Linked DNA regions of Drosophila melanogaster. The protein of the gene in region 1 purifies or fractionates together with the protein of each later gene. This does not show direct contact. Each region holds a gene or a part of one and is shown on either strand. Other genes may lie near its edges. The genes, in order: NdufV3 and CG11035.

Region 1 (10,504 bases):
CCCTTCGAGAGTTGGGCGAGCATTTTACAATTAATTGTTTTCTTTAGTTTAGTTTATATTACATAGATACATCTGCCGTTTGTATTTATGTATGTCCGTCCGCTGTTTATAATATACGAGATATATATATATAAAAATTTATATAAATATATATATATATATATTCATATATATAAATATATAATTATATATACGTGTATATATATTAATATATATTTATATACATACATATATATATATACATATAAATATATATAAATTTACGCTACACTAGCTATTACAACTAAGTTAATGGTTTTACAAAAAAAAACTTGTATCTGTTTTATTACAACTACAGCATAAAACGAATTATCGAGTGTCCGCTTTGTTTGTTTGTGTATGTGTATGGGGGAGGGGGATGGGGATGGGGAGGGGAGTGCTGTGTGTGAATTATTTTTTACAATGTGATACGTGCTCTTCCTGTGGCCACCATGGACCAGGCCTCCACGCTCACTTAGCGTTGACCAGCTCGACAATGTTGCTGCTGATCGAGAGGCGATCGACGATATCCAGCAGGATCTCCACATCCTTGATGGTGGCAACCGTCTCGGGGGCACCCAACAGATTCACATGCTTGCCATCGATGTTCGCATAGAAGCATTTGTTCTTGAAGATGACGGCCCGATCGTAGGGCACGCGGCACGTGTTCTTGTCAACGACAACGCGCCGGAAGAGCACGCACGACGGCTGATACTTGTGACGGTCCTCCTCGGGTATGTTGTACGCCTTGAGATCGCCCGTAAAGATGGTCATTGTCTGGCGGGGCATCATCGACGGCGAGACCTTGTACAGCGTCACCTTGCTGGTCCATTTGCCCGATGGCACCTTTATCCGTGACGCCACATTGGCCAGCTTGACCAGCGCCAGCTCCAGGCAGGTGCGCTGCTGGCGCGCCATCTTCGACAACATATCCTTGGCCGTGCTAACCACATGCCACGTCTCATAGCAGGTGATCTTCTTTACCACACGACCATCCTCCTCGTGAAACGTTGTGGTCTCGGGCGGAAAATATTTGGGACTGTTGGCATCGTCGATGCCACCGCCGGTGGGCAATATTTCGCGCAGCGTTGTCAGCTCCTTGTCGCGCTGCTGCTCCTGCTGGTTCTCCTTGCTGCGACGCTGCGGAACCAGGCTCGGCTTCTTGAACACCGGCTGGACATCGTTATCGGCCAGCAGATTGCTCAGCCTCCGGTCCGCAATCAGCGCATTCACCGACGACGCTGTCGTGGACAGCACATTGCGCCGATTGTTGTTCAACTTGTTAACCGCTACCGCTGCTGGAGCGGACGTCATCGCCGCCGACGCCGCCACCGACGTCGTTGTCGTCACCTGCTTGGACTTGGCATTGGCATTGACATTGGCATTCTTACGGGTAACAATAGATACCGGTATATTATCGATATCAAAATCGAGATCTGGATCCGGATCGTCCTCTTCGGTGTCGACGTCCGTGGGACAGAGCTCCTTGCCCATGCTCATCAGCGGTTTCATCGACTGCGTCTTCTTGCCCATTTCCGCGTTGAGTATCCTGGGCCGGGGCTTCGGCAGTTGACTCTGGATATGCACTGGTCCCATTTTGGTATTGACACTACTGTTGCTGGCCAAGATCTTGATGCGCTTGGCTGGATTCCCCGCCGTCGTATTGTTGTGGTTAACAGCAGCGGACAGGGATTTCTGCGTGCTGTTAACAGTGATGGATTTCTTATCGCCGGCAACCGAATTGCCGGTTCCGATATTCTTGGTACGGGGCCTGCCCAAAGCGACCTTTTTGATTGAATTACCGCCAGCTGCGGAAGCGGCCATAGCAGTGTGTGATCTGGAAATGAGCACATCGTCCTGATTGATAATGTCATCGATGTTTACAATGGTGAATGTGGGCATATCCTCCGATTCGGAATCGTTTTTCCCATCATTGCTAGCGTCACCCTTGCCGCCGCCACCACCACCGCCAGTTGAGCGCGTTGCGGGCGTGGATCTAATCGAATTCGAATTGGAGTTCGACAATGAGTTTATCTTGTTACTGCTGCCGCGTCGCTGTGGCAGCATCCTGGCTGACGCACTGCCCGCCTGGCCCACCTTCGGTCGCGCCGTGATCGCTCTCTGCGCGCTCATCTTGCTGTTGGCACCATTCACCACAGGCGGTCCGCTGCGCTGCTGGGAGCCGCCCGAAATGATTATGCGCTTGCGTGGCACAGGACTCTCGCTTTCGCTAGTGTCCATTTTGCGTTTGGCCGCGGCGGACGCAGTGCCCTTGCCCGTGCTCGATCCGTCTGTCATGCTGGCATTGCTTTTGGCCATATTCGTGGCCATTGTGCGACGCATCTGCTGCAGGCTAGTGGACGCCGTGCGGCCGCTGCTCGAATTTATGGATATCTTGGATGTGGCGCCGCTGCTGGAAGTCAGATTGCCAGCGCTGGTCGCGCTGGCATTGGCATTGACATTTTTCGCCTTCGGTGGACGTCCACGTCCACGCTTGACGGGCGGCTGTTTGCGTCGCAGCTCCTGCTCGTACTCGGCCTCGCTTATATCGTCGTCGTCGTCATCGTCGGACTTGTGCAGTTGCGGATTGAAGGCGGCGTCCGCCACTTCGTCATCATCGTCCTCTTCGAATTCCAGCATATCGCTGATTTCATCTCGCGGCAGGCGGACCAAGCGTCTGTCGTTCGTGCCGATGGACTGGCCACCGCCATCGGCCAGGGCGGCCAAGTACTTTGGCGTCACTATATCCTCGCTGACATACTTTGGATTCGGTTTGATCGATCGGCGCGAACGACTGGCCGCAATGGTGGGCGGCGGACTCGTCGATACGCGCTTGCTGGACACCACCTTGAACATCTTCGGCGTCTCCGCTTGAACGGATCGCCGTCGCTGTGGCTTGTCCAGACCCAACTTGTGAGGACTAATGGACAGGGGATGATTGCTGCCTCCCAGCAGCAAATTGCCGCGTCGTTTGGCCAGATTGCTGGATGGCTGCTCCTTGACGGCCGACTCCCTGCTGAGCTTGGAACGCGCCGATGGCGACGATGGTGATGGCGATAACGCTGCTGGCTTCACAGCGTGCCTGGTGCGCGGAGTGGGCTTCTCCTGGACGACGGATTGACGTCTTGTGGTGCGGGTCCCACGCAGCTCCTGCTGCACCTCCCGTTGGTTATCTCTCCCTTTCAGTTTGCCGGCTGGCGTGTCTTTACGCGAAGACGACTCGTCGTACAGATTCCTCACGTAGACGATGCAATTACGTGTCTTCTTAACGCTTTCAGCTGCCTCTTTTTTTCCAGCCCGCATCTTTCATGGGTAGCTGGAATCGTGGGCAAGAGGCGGAATGGATTATTAGTTACATTGTGACCATATAGGATGAGTACAGTGGGTTGTGGCTAGCGGGATCGTGTTATTCACCCATTTGCAATTAGTAGTATTTTTCAAATATCGCATTGAAATTGGAAATCCAAGCAAGCAGCTTTATTACAGAGTAACAACATTGCACACGTATCGCGTAGCCAGGGCCCACTGTATTCCACTGATATGTGTGTAATGTGCAGCTAGCTGCTCTGGCAACTCTAGCGCCTATTTTCGTCACTTTTTCGCGCGCCAGTCGTTGCACACACATATGCACACGCAGGCACACACATAGAGCTACATGCACACAAACACACAAACACGTAGGAATATGGAGCGATGAGAATATCGTTTGATTGAAATTCAGCAACTTACCTTCGAAAATCGCTTAACATTTTCTCGGGCGTTAAGCTTGCCTTCAATTTAATCGCACTTTTCGCTGGCACTTTCACAAGCCCGCGCTCTCTCTTTTGCTTATTGTTCTCTCGCTGCAACTCTGCTGCTGCTGCTGCTGCGGATGGTCACTCTTAATTGGCAACTGTTTTTTATATTTTCTTCCTTTTTGGGCTTTGGGCAAGAGATTGCCTATTGCTATTTAGAATGTTTTCAAAACGCCAGAATGCACAACACAATAACAACAACCGAACTGAACAACTGAGCTGCTGCACAGAAAGCAGAACAGCAAAAGTGGTGGCAATAGTGGCGGAACAAGAAAAAAAATTATAAATGCGAGCGAACGAGAAAGAGAGAGAGGAGCAGCGCAACCAGGTGGCAACTCGCTCTGGCGATGATTTTCTACCCAACTGTACCACACACACACATGCACAGCGACCCTGTGTGTTTTTGCTTTTCTCGAGGGCTTTTTTCGGCGTTTTGCTGGCGAAATTCCACGCGATCGGCGACACAAATCGTTTGGCTCGACTGTAACTGCAACAGCTGAATGTGCGCACCAATTTGTATTTGCTTTCTGACACGATTAACACGATTATGATTGGCGCGCTCGAAATGGTTCGCTGTCGATGGAAAAATGGAACTGGAAAGAGAGGGGAGGATTGCTGTAATACGGTGTTGTATAGCGTCCGTCGGTCGGTCGGCCAGTGCTGCAGAATGTCTGCCAGCCCAACTGCCCCATCGGCCACAGACACCGATTAACACTGATTTTTCTAATTCTCAACTGTCCTCTTTAAATGGCATTTATTTTATTTAACATCAACAATTGGGCTACATCTACTTGAGGGCCGAGGGCTGTGGGCAGCGGTACTTGGCCATTTCCACCTCCGCCTCGGCGTAGCTAAAGCGATTGAAGCTGTAGTATTCAGGCACCTTGTAGCCACCGGTGGCGGAGGCACCTGGTCCAACGGGTCCGCTGCTGGGCTTCACGCAATTGCTGGTCAGTCCCACAACCGATGGCGAGGATGCGCCGCCCGATGGCGAGGATCCGGCTCCAGCTGGAGATCCTGAGGCGCTGGGTCTACCGCCGCCGGAAACGGGTCCGCCCTTGATCTGGCTGTAGCAGCGGCTGAGGGCTGGGCGCAGGGCACGTGAGGGCGAGAACATGTTGGACTTAATGGCTGGCTAGCTTGCAGCGTTTAATTCGCAAAAATAATTCACGTAATCACGTATCAACAAAGTGGACGTGTTGGGTAACGCGGAAAGTGCGCTTATTGGCGAGGAATATGGCAAGGCAACGTACGAGCGCGAAGCTGCCACCTGGCCGCAAAAATATGCATAAAATAAAAGTGGTCATATTTTAAATTGGTTTAAATGTTTAAATTATTATTTACACAGTTAAAGATGCTGGCAGTGCTGGTATAGTTATATATTATATAATTTAAGCCTGACGTTAGGGCTAGAATAGATAAATTGATTTTTAAACAGTGCCATCCTTTGACTAAGCTAGTTTTAGTATTTAACTAAGAGCTATATAAACAACTATTTTCTCGTCTTAAACTTGGGCTGCGCCTTGCCGTAGTGCTGATCGATGTGTGAAACGGGCGCGCGCCTCTTGTCGTTGCGCTCCTTTTGCGATTTTGTTCGGCATTTGACGCTGGCGGCGCCCGTTTGATTTTTGCCCAACTGATGGAACTTCTTGCGCTCCTCGCGAATATTCTTCAGCCGCTGGCGTTCGTCCTTCAGCTCCTTGTAGTTTTTGGAGGCCTTCTTCAGCGGCTTGGCGCCCAGCTTGATCAGCTGAAACATTTCCATTTTGCTCTTGTTTTTGATCACACGCTGGTTTTTGATCGCAAAATTGAGCACCTCGTGGCGCGCCTTCTTGATATCGAATTCGGGATTCAGTTCCATGCCGCCCTCCTTGGTTTTGTGCGATTTTTGGACGCCGTCGTCCTGCTTTTTTGTTCCACTTTTCGATTGGAAGTGCGATTCGTGGAAGACGTGTGCCTGAAATTCGGTGTTCTCCTGCTTCTTTTGCAGCGCCAACGCTGCACGCGTGGGCACCGGCTTAAAATCGGCGCTGACGTTCATTATGCTTTCAGTTTTCTGTGTTTATTTGCAGCAATAATAGTGAAATCAAAATATTGAATGCACATGTACAGTGCCAAAATGTACTAATTCCCACGTAACGCCTCGGTCCATCTGGCAGCGCCGTTTTTCATGAATGTTGCTTGTAAGGTGGCGCTTTTTAATGTCCTTATTACGTCACAAAATCTTTTTATTTCAAAATATGTTTCAGAAAAACTGCTCAGCTTGCAGTCTATTGCTATTTATTAAGTATACAATTTCTTTACATTAATTTGTAAAATTTCGTACTTATTAAAAGCATAATAAGATCTTATTGAATGGTCAACTATTATAATATTTAAAATAAATTTTTTGTATATTAAAAGACATTGATTTTACTCATTTTGCTTTTGCTTTCCGAGTCCGAATCCTCCGACCAAAAATCATCTGGCAAACAAATCGCTTTCCAGCCCATTGCGTCCGCATCGTCAGAGATGGAATTCTGCTCATCCAGCTGGTTGAAGGGACTGGCATTCAAAGGACCCGACCAACTCGCGACGCGACTAACTGGCGGTGGAATAAGGCAATCGGAATTCTCCTTCCGATACGTTCGAGCCTTCAGTTTGTTTACTGCGTTGGGCAATTGCGGTACAGGCACCTCCTCCTCGTCGTCGTCGGGCGATGAAGTGGAATTGGGCACATTTACGATGTAGCTAATGGGATCCAGGCGGATCCCTATGGTTTTCTGGGAGGATCGGCTGTGTGGTCGCGTCAGATGTGGATTGCCCTCTCGACGTCGCCGTGCGTTTCTATTTTCCGTCTTGAGCCTCCCGTTTGCCGACCTGCCGCCATTGATGACGCTCCTCGTGGATATATTCACCGGGGGCGACTTTCGCCTGGCGGCCAGCTTCTTCGGATGCGGAATCCTGTAGCGACCATTCGCGTAGTCATTGCGCGGACTGACGAAAATTCCAGCCAAATATTTAAGCATTTTCCAAGAAAGTTTACTAAGAATTTAAAATAATTGCAAGCGACGCATAAGCTCCGATTTTATTTCTGACGATCGAGAAATGTGACGGAAAAATGATTTGTTACAAAATTTGGAGAAGAAATTTTGGAAATGATTAATTTTATGGTTTTCAAATATAGCATAGTATAGCTAGGACACAAACCCTTGTAATTCCGCATAGAAAATAGTTGGGATGATCCGGCAACGCAGTGCGGATCGAAATAAAAAAGAAAACAATGCGCTCGCAAGAAAATTGAAGCAACAACAAATAGCCGATAAATCAGAGCCAAGGGACAAGCGCAAAATGGCTAGGAACACGGGCAGCTCCTCGGGCTCCACGCCCGCTGCATCCTCATCCGGATCGAGCGCAGCAGCAGCAGCGGCGGCGGCAGCGGCAGCAGCAGCGGCATCCAATGCCAAACAGAAGCAGCGCAGCCCGCGTTTCAGTTTATCCTCGAATTTGATCCTGGACAAATGGAAAACGATGATTGGTTGCGTTTGCCTGGCGATAGCCTCGTACTTCGGCTATCTGGGCTACCTGGAGACGCGCGTTAACACGCCCTTCGATCACCAGAAGATGGTGGTGCATGCCGGCCTGGAGCAACCGGATCGCTACTGGGGCTCCTACCGTCCGTTGACGTACTTCGGCATGAAGACCAGGGATCCGCACTCGCTGGTCATGGGCCTGATGTGGTATACGCCCAGTAATCTGGGCCCCGGTGGCCAGGGCATTCGACACTGGTGCGAGCAGGGCGATAAACTGGACTCGTACGGCTGGACGCATCACGATGGCCGCAGTTTTGGCGTTCAAGAGATCCAGGATCTGCCCTTCGAGCTGAAGACCTCGTTCGTTAAGTATCCAGAGGGCAAGCAGTACGGCGGCGATTGGACTGCCAGGATATCGGTGAGGAATACGACAAGGGCGTGGGACAAGAGCATCTCGCTAATCTGGTATGTGGCATTGGATGAGCGCACCAATGGACACATTAAGTACGTGTCGGACGACAAGAGTCCGGAGCCGGGCGTCTATGGTGAGGCGCAGGGCCTGGGCGAGTTCCAAGTGCGTTTCCATGCCGTCAAGGGCAAGATACTGCATAAATCCTATCTCAGCACGGTGGCACCGTCGCTGGCCAAGCTCAAGGATACGCTCTTCTCGCACTTCCGCGCCTTCGCCGACAAGCGTGGCAATCGCTTCATCGGCCTGCCCGGCGAGATAGTCTCGCAGAATGGCCTGCCATCCTCCAATCCGGAGCCCAATTTCATAGCCATACAGATAACGGCGGAGGTGGACTTCACGCTGGACATTACGTACCAGTCGACGTCGGGCTTTTCGCTTGGCGAGTCGATACCCAAGCCGCCGACGGGACGAGCCTATCAGGATTCGCTTCAGGCGAAAATAGCACAATTTGAGCAGCGTTTCGAGGATCGTTTCCAGCTGAAGCAGAAGGGTCACTCGCCGGAGGAGGTGCGATTTGCGCGCAACGCATTGAGCAATCTGCTTGGCGGCATTGGTTACTTCTATGGCTCCAGTCGCGTGCAATCGGTGTACACAAAGAATCCGGTGCCCTACTGGAAGGCTCCACTGTACACGGCCGTGCCGTCGCGTAGCTTCTTTCCCAGGGGCTTCCTTTGGGACGAGGGCTTCCACGGCCTGTTGATCAGTGCGTGGGACATCGATATCGAGCTGGATATCATATGCCATTGGTTCGATTTGCTCAACGTGGAGGGCTGGATACCCAGGGAGCAAATCCTGGGCGTTGAGGCGCTGGCCAAGGTGCCCGAGGAGTTTGTCACGCAACGGAATAGCAACGCCAATCCGCCGACGTTCTTTCTTACGCTCAAGAAACTGCTGACCAGCCACCGGGCGGAGTTGTCGCAAAACGGCAGATTGGCCACGCTGGAGCGGCTCTATCCGCGTGTCCAGGCCTGGTTCAATTGGTTCAACACCACGCAGAGGGGTAAGTCACTTAGCCACCTGCCATCGCTTTCTATGTGGCGTCTACTAACTAACTGCTCCATTCTAGGTGAAGTGTTGGGCACATATTTGTGGCGCGGCAGGAACGCGACCACCACGCGCGAATTGAACCCCAAGAGTCTGTCCTCCGGCCTGGACGATTATCCGCGCGCCTCGCATCCCACGGACAAGGAGCGTCACCTGGACCTGCGCTGCTGGATTGCCCTGGCCGCCGGTGTGATGGCCGAACTGTCCACGCTGCTGGGCAAGGACGATGCCAAGTACTACGAGACGGCATCGTACTTAACGGACAATGTGCGTCTGAATCGCCTCCATTTGGCGCCGTACAGCGAACAGTACGCCGACTGGGGCCTGCACACGGACCAGGTGAAGCTGAAGCGTCCGCCGTCCATGGCGCCGCAGCAGCAGCAGCGGCATCATCACCAGCACTACCAGCTGCCCGAGATGCAACGTGTGACCGGCGAGTTGCCGACCTATCAGTTCGTGGACAGCGCCTTTGGCTATGTTAGCCTGTTTCCGTTGCTGCTCGAGCAACTGGATCACGATTCGCCGTATCTGACCAAGTTGCTAAACGATCTGCGTGATCCGGAACAGTTGTGGACCAACTACGGTCTGCGTTCGCTTTCGAAGAGATCGCCATTGTATATGCAACGCAATACGGAACACGATCCGCCGTATTGGCGTGGACCCATCTGGATTAATATCAACTATTTGGCGGCCAAGGCGCTGCATCACTATGGCAAGATCGATGGACCGAATGCGGCGTTGGCGCGACAAATTTACGCCGAACTGCGCGACAATCTGGTGGGCAACATCCTGCGGCAGTACAAGCGCAGCGGCTACTTGTGGGAGCAGTACGATGACACCAGCGGCGAGGGCAAGGGCTGCAATCCGTTCACCGGCTGGACGGCCACCGTTGTCCTCCTGATGGCCGAGCAATTCTAGATCTCGCCTACACGGTTTTCAGCCTGCCAAAACTGCTGTGAGTTCCTCAACGAACGACCCTGTCCCCGCATTCCTGGCGAAGATCAATGCGTTTTTGTGTGTGTTTGGAATAGCTGGGTGCTTCAATTGCAAACGTTTGGAGTACCAAATAAATTTTACTTAAATTGTAGCCAAAACTATCATCATCTATGGAGATTCGTTTGTTAGTTTTCGTGTGTGTGTCCGTGTTGTTTGTGACACACGATATACCAAAGATTAATATAATGACTCGCTGTGGTTTTAAGTAGTTTGTGCTAAGATATTTGATTGCCAGTTGGGCGTGTAGCTTGTAAGCTTAGAGAACAAACCCAGCTATTCCTAGTTAGCAATTTCACGCTCCAGTTTGCTATACGCGATACTTAAGATACTTGGAGTGCAAAGTAATCATTTCTCCTAGCGTTAAATAGACGAATTTTAAAATTGACAACCGATGTGTAGTTTTATTTAAGCTACACCAACTTGTTTCCGCTTCAAGTGCAATGCAAGTTGAGTTCAGTTTTTCCACTTTTATTCCATAGATCTATTGAAAATTCCTGTCGCTGGGAATACTCCGGTGTTATAGCTATATTATACACGATTTTCTTAACTATATAGTACACACACACAATCGCACACACACACACATACACACACGCAGGCTGATGATACATACATACATACATATATGTAAATCGTATTTCATTCTACTGTTGCATTAAAAAAGGTAC
Region 2 (12,068 bases), on another chromosome or scaffold:
GGTGGCAAGTGCTGCCGGAAGAGAGCGGCTTGTGAGAGAGCGGGCGATGACGTCGCACGCTAGAATCGCAGCTGATTTAGCAACAATTTGCAGCCAGCACTGTTATAGACTTTTGGGCACATTAACACCGATGTCCGCACACACCCGCATTGGCGTGAACTATGTCAATGTGTCAGTTAAGTCGTTTCGCTGATTCGGCGCTCGGGTGAAGGGAAGCCCAGGTGCAGTGTCCTGCGACAATTGTCCCGCTTGCTTTGTCCTAAGAGAACACGTTTGGCGGCACTTCCGGCCGTAAAGGGTCTACCGAATGATTTAGAATCGGTCCCAAATCCAAATTCATTCAGAAAAAAGTTCTATACTTAATTTGCTTAAAAGCAGATACTGAAAAAAGGTTATTTAGGTTTTTAAAGACCAGAGAAAATAATACATAAGGCGAATAATTAACCCTACCTCGCCAGTTGCAAGTCAAATTATATTTCAGACCGCGACTCACTGATTTACTTATGTCCTAAGATTAATCAAATCTATAAGTGCCAAGGCTGATTTAACAGTTACATAATATAGTGAGAAGCACAAATCGCGTTATAGTTGCTTCGATTTTTATTTTATTGAAAATGTTAGAAACCTTGCACAAGGCCCCGATTAATCTGCAATAATAAAACAACAATGCACTACAAATTATGTATAAACAAAACTTTGTACACTGTCTAATATTTCTAAAAAATGTGCTCAAATAAATATATAAACTATTTTATCAGCTCTTGTTTCAAACTGATTTTGGGTGACTATTCCCCAAAACAAAAATTCGAATTTATCAAAGTACACACACAATTGTAAGGTCAGTAGGTCCTTCGACTTTATTGCGACTTATGCTAAGAGCTTAAGGTAAAAACTGCATGCTGGGAATAAAAGTCAATGCCTTGGAAGTGGGGCTTTTGGGATTCCCCAGATCTTTGGCGATTCCCTGCACGCGGGCCACCACGTCACTGCGCTGGATATCGCCCCGGTCCAACATCCTTTTAAATAGAGTATACAATTGCCTGGCCGCCGAAACCTGTGACAAGGCATGCAGCTCCACCAGCAGATTCTCGGAATATCCCTCGTACTTGCTCAGACTCGCCGCCTTAGCATCGCGCTTTAGCAGATCGTAAACCAGCAGGAAATCCACATAGGGCTTAGTGGGAGGAACTCTCTTTTTGCCTGCGATCGAGGCGGTGCTCCATCGATCCATCGCGGACTCAGAACCGAAAGCGGCCCTTCCGTAGTTATCGTCGTAGAGGCGCAAAAAGTTATCCAGTGACTCCACATCGTTGGTAAAGTCGTAGCGCTCGCTTTGAATATCACGGATCAAAGACAAAGGCAGGGTATCAAAGTCGCTATCATCTTTGATTTCTGCAAATAGATCGTTGCCCTCAAGGGACTTTTCCGGCGGCGCAGTTGGTGCAAAAATTGCCGGACGGTGCGGCACAGTGGGTGGCGATGTGGGTCTCTCGGTTGTGGATGATCTCTTCGGCGTTTCCCACCAACTTGGCGGCTGCCACCAGCCCATGCCACCAGATCCAGACGCACCTGCTCCAATCGGTCGCCTTGTGGTAGTGGTTCTCATCCTCGTGGGCAACGGTGTGGATGGGCGCGGATTTGCAGTGGTGGATTCCATACCTTCTTCATCCGCACTGAAAGGAGGCTCCACTGTTGTGCTTGATAGTGGCTCGTACTGCAGCAGGTCAATATAGTATGCCAAGGCCTGCATGGAGGCGGGCAGATAGCTAGTCAGTAGGTTAGCCGGCGCCACTGGATCCACTAGGTGACCCACTAGAAGCACCACCAGCATTGGACGAACCGTTAGCCCACTGCGCATTTCTCGCTTTTCTTACTTTCTTCTGGCGGGAACGGTTTACTCTGGGGGAATGGAGGCACTCAACTGAAGCGACTCTTCCCAGCAACCAGCGAGCATCTGTAGTTGGCTCTGCATCTGTCTTTGTCTCCGTATCTGTATCTGGTTTTCAAAATGGGTGACAGCGGGTTCGGCTTTAGCTTATACTCTTTCAAAAGGTATTTTAACGCGCAGAAAATATAAAAAAATCTTCAGGGTCAAACGATTACAACTAATCTGTATTGATTTTATATTAATTTGAGTATCATCACAATCTTTTATTTCTATTAATAAATGTTATTAAAGCAATACTTCTCGGTTTTCCTTTTTAAATCATTTGCCCTAATGGAATAGCGTCAATGATTTCTGAGCATACTTATAGCTTCGGTGTTGGGCTTCAACTTTTCACATGCGATTTTTTGGGGGTTTTAGCAAACTCGTTGAGTGGAGAGGCCAGCGACCGCGATCGCCGCTTGTTGCGTAAATTTTGTAACCACCGACTTTTGGCGGAGAATGTTGTTCTTGGAAAGAGTGAAAGATGTTCCGTTGCCAAAAGAACAACCAGTTTGGTCATAAATATGCAAAGTGTGCACAAACACAGGCAGAAAGCAGGCGAACCGCACATAAACCTGATTTTGGGTGCTTTATTCATTTGCAAGGAGTACAAAAGCTCTTACATTAAATTAAATGCATCTTTGGTGCAGTTTAAGAATCACTTGCAAGTGCGACACTTTGAGAGCCATTGATGACCGCTGTCGATCAAAAAAGGAGAGCAAGGGAGCCCGGCAAACAGCTGTTTGAGAAGCATTAACCTGTTGTTGTTGCTCTTGTGTTGCCGTCTAGATGAGTTTTCGCTTTTTTCGAGGAAATTGGAGCACGGTAAACGACTTAGCATAACGGGTTTCCTAAGCAAGCCGTGCCGCTGCTTTTTTAGCACAGACATAACGGCCTCACACTCGCACACCTAAACTTTTTGCACTTCCGCCTGGCCAATTAGCACTTAATAGTGTCATGTGTATTTTTTGACGCGTCAGAACCAAGACACACACACAGGTAACAATTTCACTGGCACACTCCCACACCCAAATTGGCCCCATGCAAATGGTTGCTTTGTTTTCAATTTCGACGTGCTTTCAGACTCAACTCACCGGTTCACTTCGTGCACAAACAAGTTTACAATTAAAATCACTCTCTTCACATGGTTATTGCTTTTAGTTTACTGGAAAAATTGAATTTTTCACGAATTTTCACTGCGTTGCGATACGGTTTGTGTAGGCTAGCTCGATAACTTTGGCCGATGGCGATAGTCTAAACATTTGTCTACGTTTCGATGTGAATGAGAAACAGCTGCTTGTTGATTGCACATGTGCTTATTTTTTTGTTTACCTAAACGCTCCAGAATTTCTGTGCACAACTTTGTAAATTACAGATAAATAATATAGGAAGAATGGCCAGAAGACCAGAGCATTCGGCGCCGCCAGAAATTGTGAGTATACGCCATAACGTACTGCCCATCAAGTGAACCCTCACCAATTTTTTATTCCTTTAGTTCTACAACGATGATGAGGCCAAGAAATATTCCACAAAGTGAGTAGATTAGATAGATATGTATGTATATGTTCGAACTCATAAAAACCAGAACTTTTTAGCACCCGCATCATTGAGATCCAAGTAGAAATGGCCGAACGTGCCTTGGAACTATTGGCGCTCCCGGATGATGATGAGTCTCGGTTGATTTTGGACATCGGCTGTGGTTCTGGACTCTCAGGTAGCGTTCTTGAGGACAGCGAGCACATGTGGATCGGCATAGATATTTCCAAGTCTATGCTCGATATCGCCGTGGAACGCGAGGTTGCTGGGGATGTCATTCTGGGAGACATGGGCGAGGGAATGCCCTTTAAGCCGGGCACTTTCGACGGCGCCATCTCGATCTCTGCCCTCCAATGGCTCTGCAATGCGGACAAGTCGTATCACAATCCCCACAAGCGCCTGCTGAAGTTCTTTACCACCTTGTTTTCCTGTCTGACACGCACCGCGCGAGCTGTCTTTCAATTTTATCCGGAGAACTCCGATCAGATCGAGATGGTAACCTCGCAAGCCATGAAGGCGGGATTCTACGGAGGATTGGTTGTCGACTATCCAAACTCTGCCAAGGCTAAGAAGTACTACCTGGTGCTCATGACTGGAGGATCTGCTGAGCTGCCGCAGGCTTTGGGTTAGTTTTAATAATAATAATTATAGAAAACTAATAATTACTTTCACATCATTTTTCTTTGCTTTTGTAGGCTCACCTGAAGAGGAACGTCGTGTAAACTATATAAAGAAACGTGATGCTTGCCGTGAGGCTCGGGGAAAAGCGCCAAAGAAATCCCGCGATTGGATCCTAGCCAAGAAAGAGCGTCGACGTCGCCAGGGGTTGGAAACCCGTCCTGACACAAAGTACACTGCACGCAAGCGCAGCGGCAAATTTTGAATAAAGTTGTTACATTTAAAATTAGTGACAGACCTAATCTCTAATTGCGGCTTTGTCTATATGTTTTAGATCTTGAGTCAGATTAAGGATATTACAATGCCGTTGGATGTTTATATACATATGTATAAGTCCCGCTGCTATTCATCTTAAGTAAAACGGACACATCTTTAATTCACAAAATTATATTGTTTCGAATTTAATTCATTTAACTTAAGTCTATGTACGCTGAAGACTAGAGAATTCTAAGATTGCTTCCCGACTAGTTTTTGTTCTCGCTCTTCTTGATCGCGTCTGTATCGTTCCTTCGCTTTCTGCTTGGGAGTGTCGTAGGAGCTTTCGGCGAGGAACATCAGGTATACGGCCACTCCGGCAAAGATAAAGGCCAGCAGGACCATGTCAGTCTGGCCTGATATTCTGTTGGTCTCCCTTTGCACTTTTATTCGATCGTATTTGGCCTGGGCGGCTTGTCTCCGGTCAAATGATTTACCATAGTGATTTCGCGACCACTCGTCGAAGTCATAGATGGGCGTACGGCCCGCAGAATCAGATACACGCGATTTCTGAAATCGCGACTTGTAAAACTTAGTCTCCGCATCGTCCTCGACTACGGGTTCCGCTACATCGTGGACATCTTGGGCATATTGGGCGCCTGCCGTATGTACGATTCCCTTGTCGTAAAGTCGACGCAGCCGGTAATTTCCCAGAATCTCATAAGCCTGATTGATCTCCCGAAATTTCTTGGCTGCGTTCTCACTTCCTTGGTTCCTGTCCGGATGATAAAGCATCGAGAGCTTATAGTAAGCTGCCTTGATCTCGTTCTGCGTGCACTGACGCCTGATTCCCAGTGCGTCGTAGTGGCTCATCTGGTGGCGTTGACTGAGGTAGAGGCCACGCAGCAGAAGCAGAGGTCGCCACAACATTGGGCTGTGCTGGTACATCTTGGATGTGTTCTTTCGCCCGCTTCACTTGTTTTGGTTTCGTTATATCACATGAAAATTAAAAACAAATCGAATCAGCTGTTTGAACTTGAACTTGTTCACCCTCGCCATCGTTGTTATCGATAGATCGATAGTATTCTGAACCAATGGTGCAGGTACAGCAAAAAATTAGCTGAAAGAGGAAAAAGAGCTTGTAATTGATTAATTTATAAAAGATAGATTTTGAAAATATTTACAGAATAAATGATTTTCAAAAAAGTTTTTACAGATATATCAGAAAAATATTTGTAATCCCTGGCTTAGTTAAAAATTTAAGACTTTAGTAAAGTTGAAATTCGTCAGCTGTTTGGGCTATGATGAAAAAAGCAAAACGTAAGCTCCACGGTTCCAGTCAGCTGTTTGGCCGATTCGCTGCGAATGGCAACTGTTGCAACTATTTTGGTTTGAGTCTTCTCAATTTTTATTTATATATAGAACAGGGCAGCAGCCGGTTCAATAGTCTCACGCAGCGTGCTTGATTTTCCCGCTAAACGCCTGCAACTGTATCTGTGTGTATTCGAGAGCGATCGAGAAGTTTCTGGTGGTCGAAATTTAGGCCAGAAGGCACAAAACCGAACTGAATAGTGAGTCATCCGTTAACAATAAAAAGTTGCAGCTACAGTTTTTGTCTTTTTATACAGAAAATTGTGTAACCATGACAAACACCATCAACAGCGAGGAAGTGTCCGACGCAGGAAGCTACAAAGATAAGGGCAACGAGGCGTTCAAGGCCTCCCGCTGGGAGGAGGCAGTGGAGCACTATGGCAAAGCCATTAAGGCGGGCTCTAAGCACAAGGAGCTGGCGGTTTTCTATAAGAATCGTGCTGCCGCTTATCTGAAGCTAGGAAAGTATGAAAATGCGGTAGAGGACTGCACTGAATCTTTGAAAGCGGCTCCGGGGGATCCCAAGGCACTGTTCCGTAGGGCTCAGGCGTACGAAGCTCTGGAGAAGTTCGAAGAGGCCTACAAAGACGCAACCGCTTTGTTTAAAGCGGATCCCGGCAACAAAACCGTACAGCCCATGCTCCAGAGGCTTCATGTCGTCGTGGAAGAGCGCTCTGCCCGTAATGCCAAGACATCCACAAAAGTCAAGCAGATGATGGATCTTACTTTTGATTTGGCCACGCCCATCGATAAGCGTCGCGCGGCAGCCAATAACCTAGTAGTTTTGGCCAAAGAGCAGACTGGCGCTGAACTGCTTTACAAGGACCACTGCATCGCCAAAGTGGCCTCACTAACAAAGGTGGAAAAGGATCAGGACATTTATGTGAATATGGTGCATTTGGTGGCTGCTCTTTGCGAAAATAGCGTCGAGCGTACAAAGGGCGTTTTAACTGAACTCGGAGTACCGTGGTTCATGAGGGTTCTCGACCAAAAACACGAGAACTGTGTGTCCACCGCCCAGTTTTGCCTACAAACAATATTGAACGCATTGTCTGGGCTTAAGAACAAACCCGATTCGAAGCCGGAGAAGGAGCTGTGCACTAGGAACAACCGGGAAATTGACACTCTCCTAACATGCCTAGTTTATAGTATCACGGATCGCACGATTTCTGGAGCAGCTAGGGATGGCGTTATTGAGCTTATAACCAGGAATGTCCACTACACAGCTCTAGAATGGGCCGAACGCCTGGTTGAGATCAGGGGACTGTGCCGTCTGCTGGATGTGTGCTCCGAACTGGAGGATTATAAGTACGAGAGTGCAATGGATATCACAGGCTCATCATCCACAATTGCATCCGTTTGTCTGGCCCGGATATATGAGAACATGTACTACGATGAAGCTAAGGCACGGTTCACGGACCAGATCGACGAATACATTAAGGACAAGCTTTTGGCGCCTGATATGGAATCCAAGGTGCGGGTCACCGTTGCGATTACTGCCCTGCTTAACGGTCCATTGGATGTGGGCAATCAGGTTGTGGCCAGAGAAGGTGAGTTCTGTTATTGGATTTAGAAAATGGTACTTAATTAATGGTGAAATTTGTAACAGGAATACTGCAGATGATTCTAGCAATGGCTACGACCGACGATGAGTTGCAGCAGCGAGTATCATGTGAGTGCCTAATCGCCGCTTCCTCTAAAAAGGACAAGGCCAAGGCTCTTTGTGAGCAGGGAGTAGATATTTTAAAGCGGCTCTACCACTCCAAGAACGATGGTATTAGAGTACGCGCCCTGGTGGGTCTTTGCAAGCTGGGTAGCTACGGCGGTCAGGACGCGGCCATCCGACCATTTGGCGATGGAGCTGCCCTTAAGCTGGCGGAGGCATGCCGTCGGTTTTTGATCAAACCTGGAAAGGATAAGGATATCCGTCGTTGGGCTGCCGATGGTCTGGCTTATTTAACACTGGATGCTGAATGTAAGGAGAAGCTCATTGAGGATAAGGCTTCCATTCACGCTTTAATGGATTTGGCCCGCGGAGGAAATCAGTCCTGTCTCTATGGTGTGGTCACTACTTTTGTGAATCTGTGCAATGCGTATGAGAAGCAGGAGATGTTGCCTGAGATGATAGAACTTGCCAAGTTTGCTAAGCAACACATACCGGAGGAGCACGAGCTGGACGACGTAGATTTCATCAATAAGCGTATTACTGTGCTGGCAAATGAGGGCATAACAACTGCTCTTTGTGCACTGGCGAAAACTGAAAGCCACAATTCACAGGAGCTGATTGCCAGGGTTTTGAATGCGGTTTGTGGACTGAAAGAGTTGCGAGGAAAAGTGGTTCAAGAAGGCGGCGTTAAGGCGCTGCTTCGTATGGCGCTTGAGGGAACTGAGAAAGGAAAACGCCATGCTACCCAGGCGTTGGCTAGGATTGGCATAACCATTAATCCGGAAGTATCTTTCAGTGGCCAGCGATCGCTTGATGTAATCCGTCCTTTGTTGAACCTTTTGCAACAGGACTGCACAGCGCTGGAGAATTTTGAGTCGCTAATGGCACTCACCAATCTAGCCAGCATGAACGAGAGCGTGCGCCAGAGGATTATCAAGGAGCAGGGGGTCTCCAAGATAGAGTATTATCTGATGGAGGACCATCTGTACCTGACTCGTGCAGCTGCCCAGTGTCTGTGTAATCTGGTTATGAGTGAGGATGTCATTAAAATGTTCGAGGGCAATAACGACCGAGTGAAGTTCTTGGCGCTTCTCTGCGAGGATGAGGACGAGGAGACCGCAACAGCTTGTGCCGGAGCTCTGGCCATTATTACTTCAGTGTCTGTCAAGTGCTGTGAGAAGATCTTGGCCATCGCCAGCTGGCTGGACATTCTGCACACTCTGATCGCCAATCCCAGTCCGGCGGTCCAGCATCGAGGCATTGTGATTATTCTAAACATGATCAATGCTGGAGAGGAGATCGCCAAAAAGCTGTTTGAAACGGACATTATGGAACTGCTGAGCGGTTTGGGGCAGCTGCCCGATGACACGCGTGCCAAGGCCCGAGAGGTGGCCACCCAGTGCCTGGCGGCGGCGGAGCGTTATAGGATCATCGAGCGGTCCGACAACGCGGAAATCCCCGATGTGTTTGCCGAAAATTCGAAAATATCTGAGATTATCGATGATTAAGCGAAATTCGTTTGTAGTGCCTTTTGTTTTTCCTCCATTTCATCTTCTTTACTTTACTCACAGTGTCATCGCGAAATTTAACTTATTTTTCAAAATATCAAATGTACTTAACTGTTTTATAAATATTGTTCGAATTTATTTCGTTTTTAAAGGTAGTTTGTTTTATTCCTTAGTGGGTAATATAATATATTATTTAGTTATTTCATGAATACGCGATTTTTTAATTTAACTAATTTAATACAGACCAAGCCTAATCCAAGCCTAATTGCTGCGGCCTAATGTGATTTGGATTGTAATATGGATGGCCACTAGGATGGCCTAGTGTTTTCCCACCGACTCCATTTTCCCCGGTGCACTGCCTCGGTACGTTTTCTATTCATTGCCACACATTAGTCGCCAGCTCGAGGTAGCTGACTTCCTCTAATGCAGAAGATGCTTCTGATGCGGCAGTGTTGCAGTGTCAGGTAGCCGGGAATTCCGAGCCGAGCATCTCTTCCAGCTGATTGCTCAATCTCAATGAAGTGTGATTAAATAAATAATAGTTGCTTTAATTTAGTTTGGCTCAGCGCAGTGGGAAATGGCCGAGGGTTTCGGTTGCTATGATTCGGTTGCCATGACTTAACGGCATTTATTCCGAAATCCATCCCGCTTTTTGTCTTTGGCCATTTGGCATTCCTTTTCCCGCGATTATTTCGCATTTTCCTCTTCTCCTTAAACCATATACTGTGCTCAATTTGACCAATATAAATAACGTGGTTAGAAGGTAAAGTAATGAGGAAGATGAATTCTTCAGGACCCTTATATGCTAAAGGGATATAAGCTGAAATAAAATATGTTGATGTAAGACCCCAGAAGGAAACAAACTAATGCTTGGCAATATATTTAAAAAATTGGTGTATAAAAACAATTAAGTTAGGGGAATAAACATTTTAAAAAATGGTAAAAAAAGACATTTTAAAAAATGTAAAAAGGATATTTCCGTGGAAATATATTAGCAAATTGAAATTCATTTCTATAGCGTTGTTTAATATTGAAAATCGAGTTTTTCGGCTACTTCATAATAAATGTACACTCTTCTTCCATTTGAGAAATCGATAATAAAGAAAATAATCCCAGACTTAATCCCCAAGAAGCAGAAACTTTCGGTTTCGGTTGTATTTACTTTTTCGGCATTGGTCAAAATGAGACATTTTGTCCTAATTACACAGACGACAGACACAGACCGTGTGGCAAAGAGTTTGCTAAGACTGTGGATCGGAAGCACTGGCTTAGAGCTTCATCGGCTTGATTGGCGACGTACATATGTGCATCTTCACTTTCCATTTAATCTCGGTTTGGTGGCGCGGTGCGGTTCAGTGTGGTGCAACACAGTTGGTGCCGCCCAATTTGTCCCGTGGAAATCGAAAGCCGATTTTCATGTCAATATTTTTGTTTAATAAACTGGCCGACTCGAGTCGTCTGCGCATGCGGAAAATATGCAAATTACCCCCCCCCAGGCGATGCGGCGCAACAAATGTGCACTGGGAGAAAAATAATAAACTTTTCAGTTAACTAATGCTGGATTTGAAATTGTCTCGTTTCAAAATAGAAAACTAACTAATACCCAGTAGATTCCTTGCTTTATATTAATTTAGCATATATAAAAATGGAACTAATTCTGTTTTCTTAGTGTATTGATGCTGGTGCAGGGGCACAAAAACACAGATTCAGATACACCGCCAGCGACGTTGCGTTGACCGATTGAACGAAAGTGCAGGCAGCAAAAGATACGGGATGAAAGATGAAAGTTGACCGCAAGTAGAAAGACGATGCTGAAAGTGCAAGTGGCTAGGCGGATCGATCGAATCGATGTAAGACGGTTACGGTTATGGAGACATCAGATTGGTGCAGGTGTCAACTCAGGTTGCACGAGTGGTTTCCCTTTTGGAAGATTCCTCTTCCCAACTGGCAGAACTTTGAGTTGAAAGATGAGTGTGTGTGTGAATTGAATGTGAATATTGTGACAATGTAAAGTGTGAAGTGTTCCCCTGCCAGACATTTCTCAATGGTTTTTTTTTTTCATTTCGCCAGAACTTGTGGACAATTTGCCAGAGCACCGCCAAACAAAACTCGTACAGCGATTTTTCTTCGCATTGGCCATGGTAATTAATCAAACTGCTGCCATCTGCCGAAAAGCGTTTGAATCGATGGCTAAACGCAAAAAATTCGTTGAAAGCCGAAAATGTGCATCGATCGCTCTTAAAACTGGCAACCACCGACCGAACAATTCAAAGAGCCAGGACAAGTTGTGGTGATAGCCAGAAAGTTGGCTCAAAATTTATATCAATCGAATGTCGTTGGCCGGAATCGTTAAGATACTCGTTTGATCCTCAAATAGTTGAATATGCTAAGCATCTCAGACTGGAGGAAGAATCCAGGCAAAACCAACAAAATCATCGAATGCCATTAGTAACATGGTCAGAAACTTGCAACAATGTTGTCAGCCAGCCATGAAAGTGCACTGGAAAAAAAATCGCTTGGCAAAAGATATAAAAATTACTACCTACTACATTTACAATAAATGAAACACATTGGCAAGCTATAAAAGCACATTACGCCTTTCAATTTAATTTATAATAAAATGCATCTAATTTAGTTTAAGGCAAGCAATTCATGGATAATTAACAACAGAAGTTTCATCTTAATTATTATTTTTTTTTTAATTTGGCATGCTCCTTTTATCCTCTACAAAAATGGTGTCCGAGTGCAAATGTTTATGTTATGACAATTGTCGACCGACCACACAAGAAAGGGGGCTGCAACTCGAAGATCCCGAAATGGGCGGTGAGGGTCCAGTGCCGGCCAAACTGTGCACTGCCCACTGTCATTAAGGTTGCGCCACTTGCTTTCATTTCGCTGAGCTTGCAGTTTTGCTTCAGATTCCCACCCATCCACTCCACTGTCCTCTCACCTTGCCTTAATTGTTTTGTTGCACTCGGCGGGCGCGAGAGGCAACTTTCTATTTGCGCATTTGCACAGGGACTGTAAACCACGGTAAATGCTTGCTTTTTATTGAAGATGCGACTTGCGACAGCGGCTGGAAACGATAATATTTATTTTCCTCCTCATTTCAAATGGGTATTTTCAAATGTTGATGTATCACAGCTGCCAGCCTTGTGTCGCTGAGAACCCACTAACCTGAATATTG

The links.
Region 2: the proteins of NdufV3 (region 1) and CG11035 purify together in Drosophila melanogaster (affinity purification with mass spectrometry, with the first as the bait; one large-scale study listed by BioGRID). This does not show direct contact.

Annotation. Positions count from the first base shown.
Region 1 is NC_004354.4:11,344,521-11,355,024, reverse strand, and holds NdufV3 (NADH:ubiquinone oxidoreductase subunit V3), read right to left. Parts: upstream 5,028-10,504; 5' UTR 4,930-5,027; coding exon 4,600-4,929; 3' UTR 4,551-4,599; downstream 1-4,550. Other genes in the region: CG1737 (uncharacterized protein), read right to left, coding at 490-3,321; CG1738 (uncharacterized protein), read right to left, coding at 5,305-5,853; CG11756 (uncharacterized protein), read right to left, coding at 6,209-6,820; GCS1 (glucosidase 1), read left to right, coding at 7,143-8,796, 8,863-9,758.
Region 2 is NT_033777.3:8,027,624-8,039,691, forward strand, and holds CG11035 (uncharacterized protein), read right to left. Parts: upstream 5,387-12,068; 5' UTR 5,285-5,386; coding exon 4,589-5,284; 3' UTR 4,347-4,588; coding exon of another isoform or gene 4,159-4,346; 3' UTR 4,089-4,158; coding exon of another isoform or gene 3,523-4,088; 3' UTR 3,507-3,522; downstream 1-3,506. Other genes in the region: ImpE3 (Ecdysone-inducible gene E3), read right to left, coding at 881-1,858; CG10903 (uncharacterized protein), read left to right, coding at 3,321-3,359, 3,423-3,460, 3,523-4,088, 4,159-4,346; unc-45 (uncoordinated 45), read left to right, coding at 5,979-7,257, 7,317-8,881.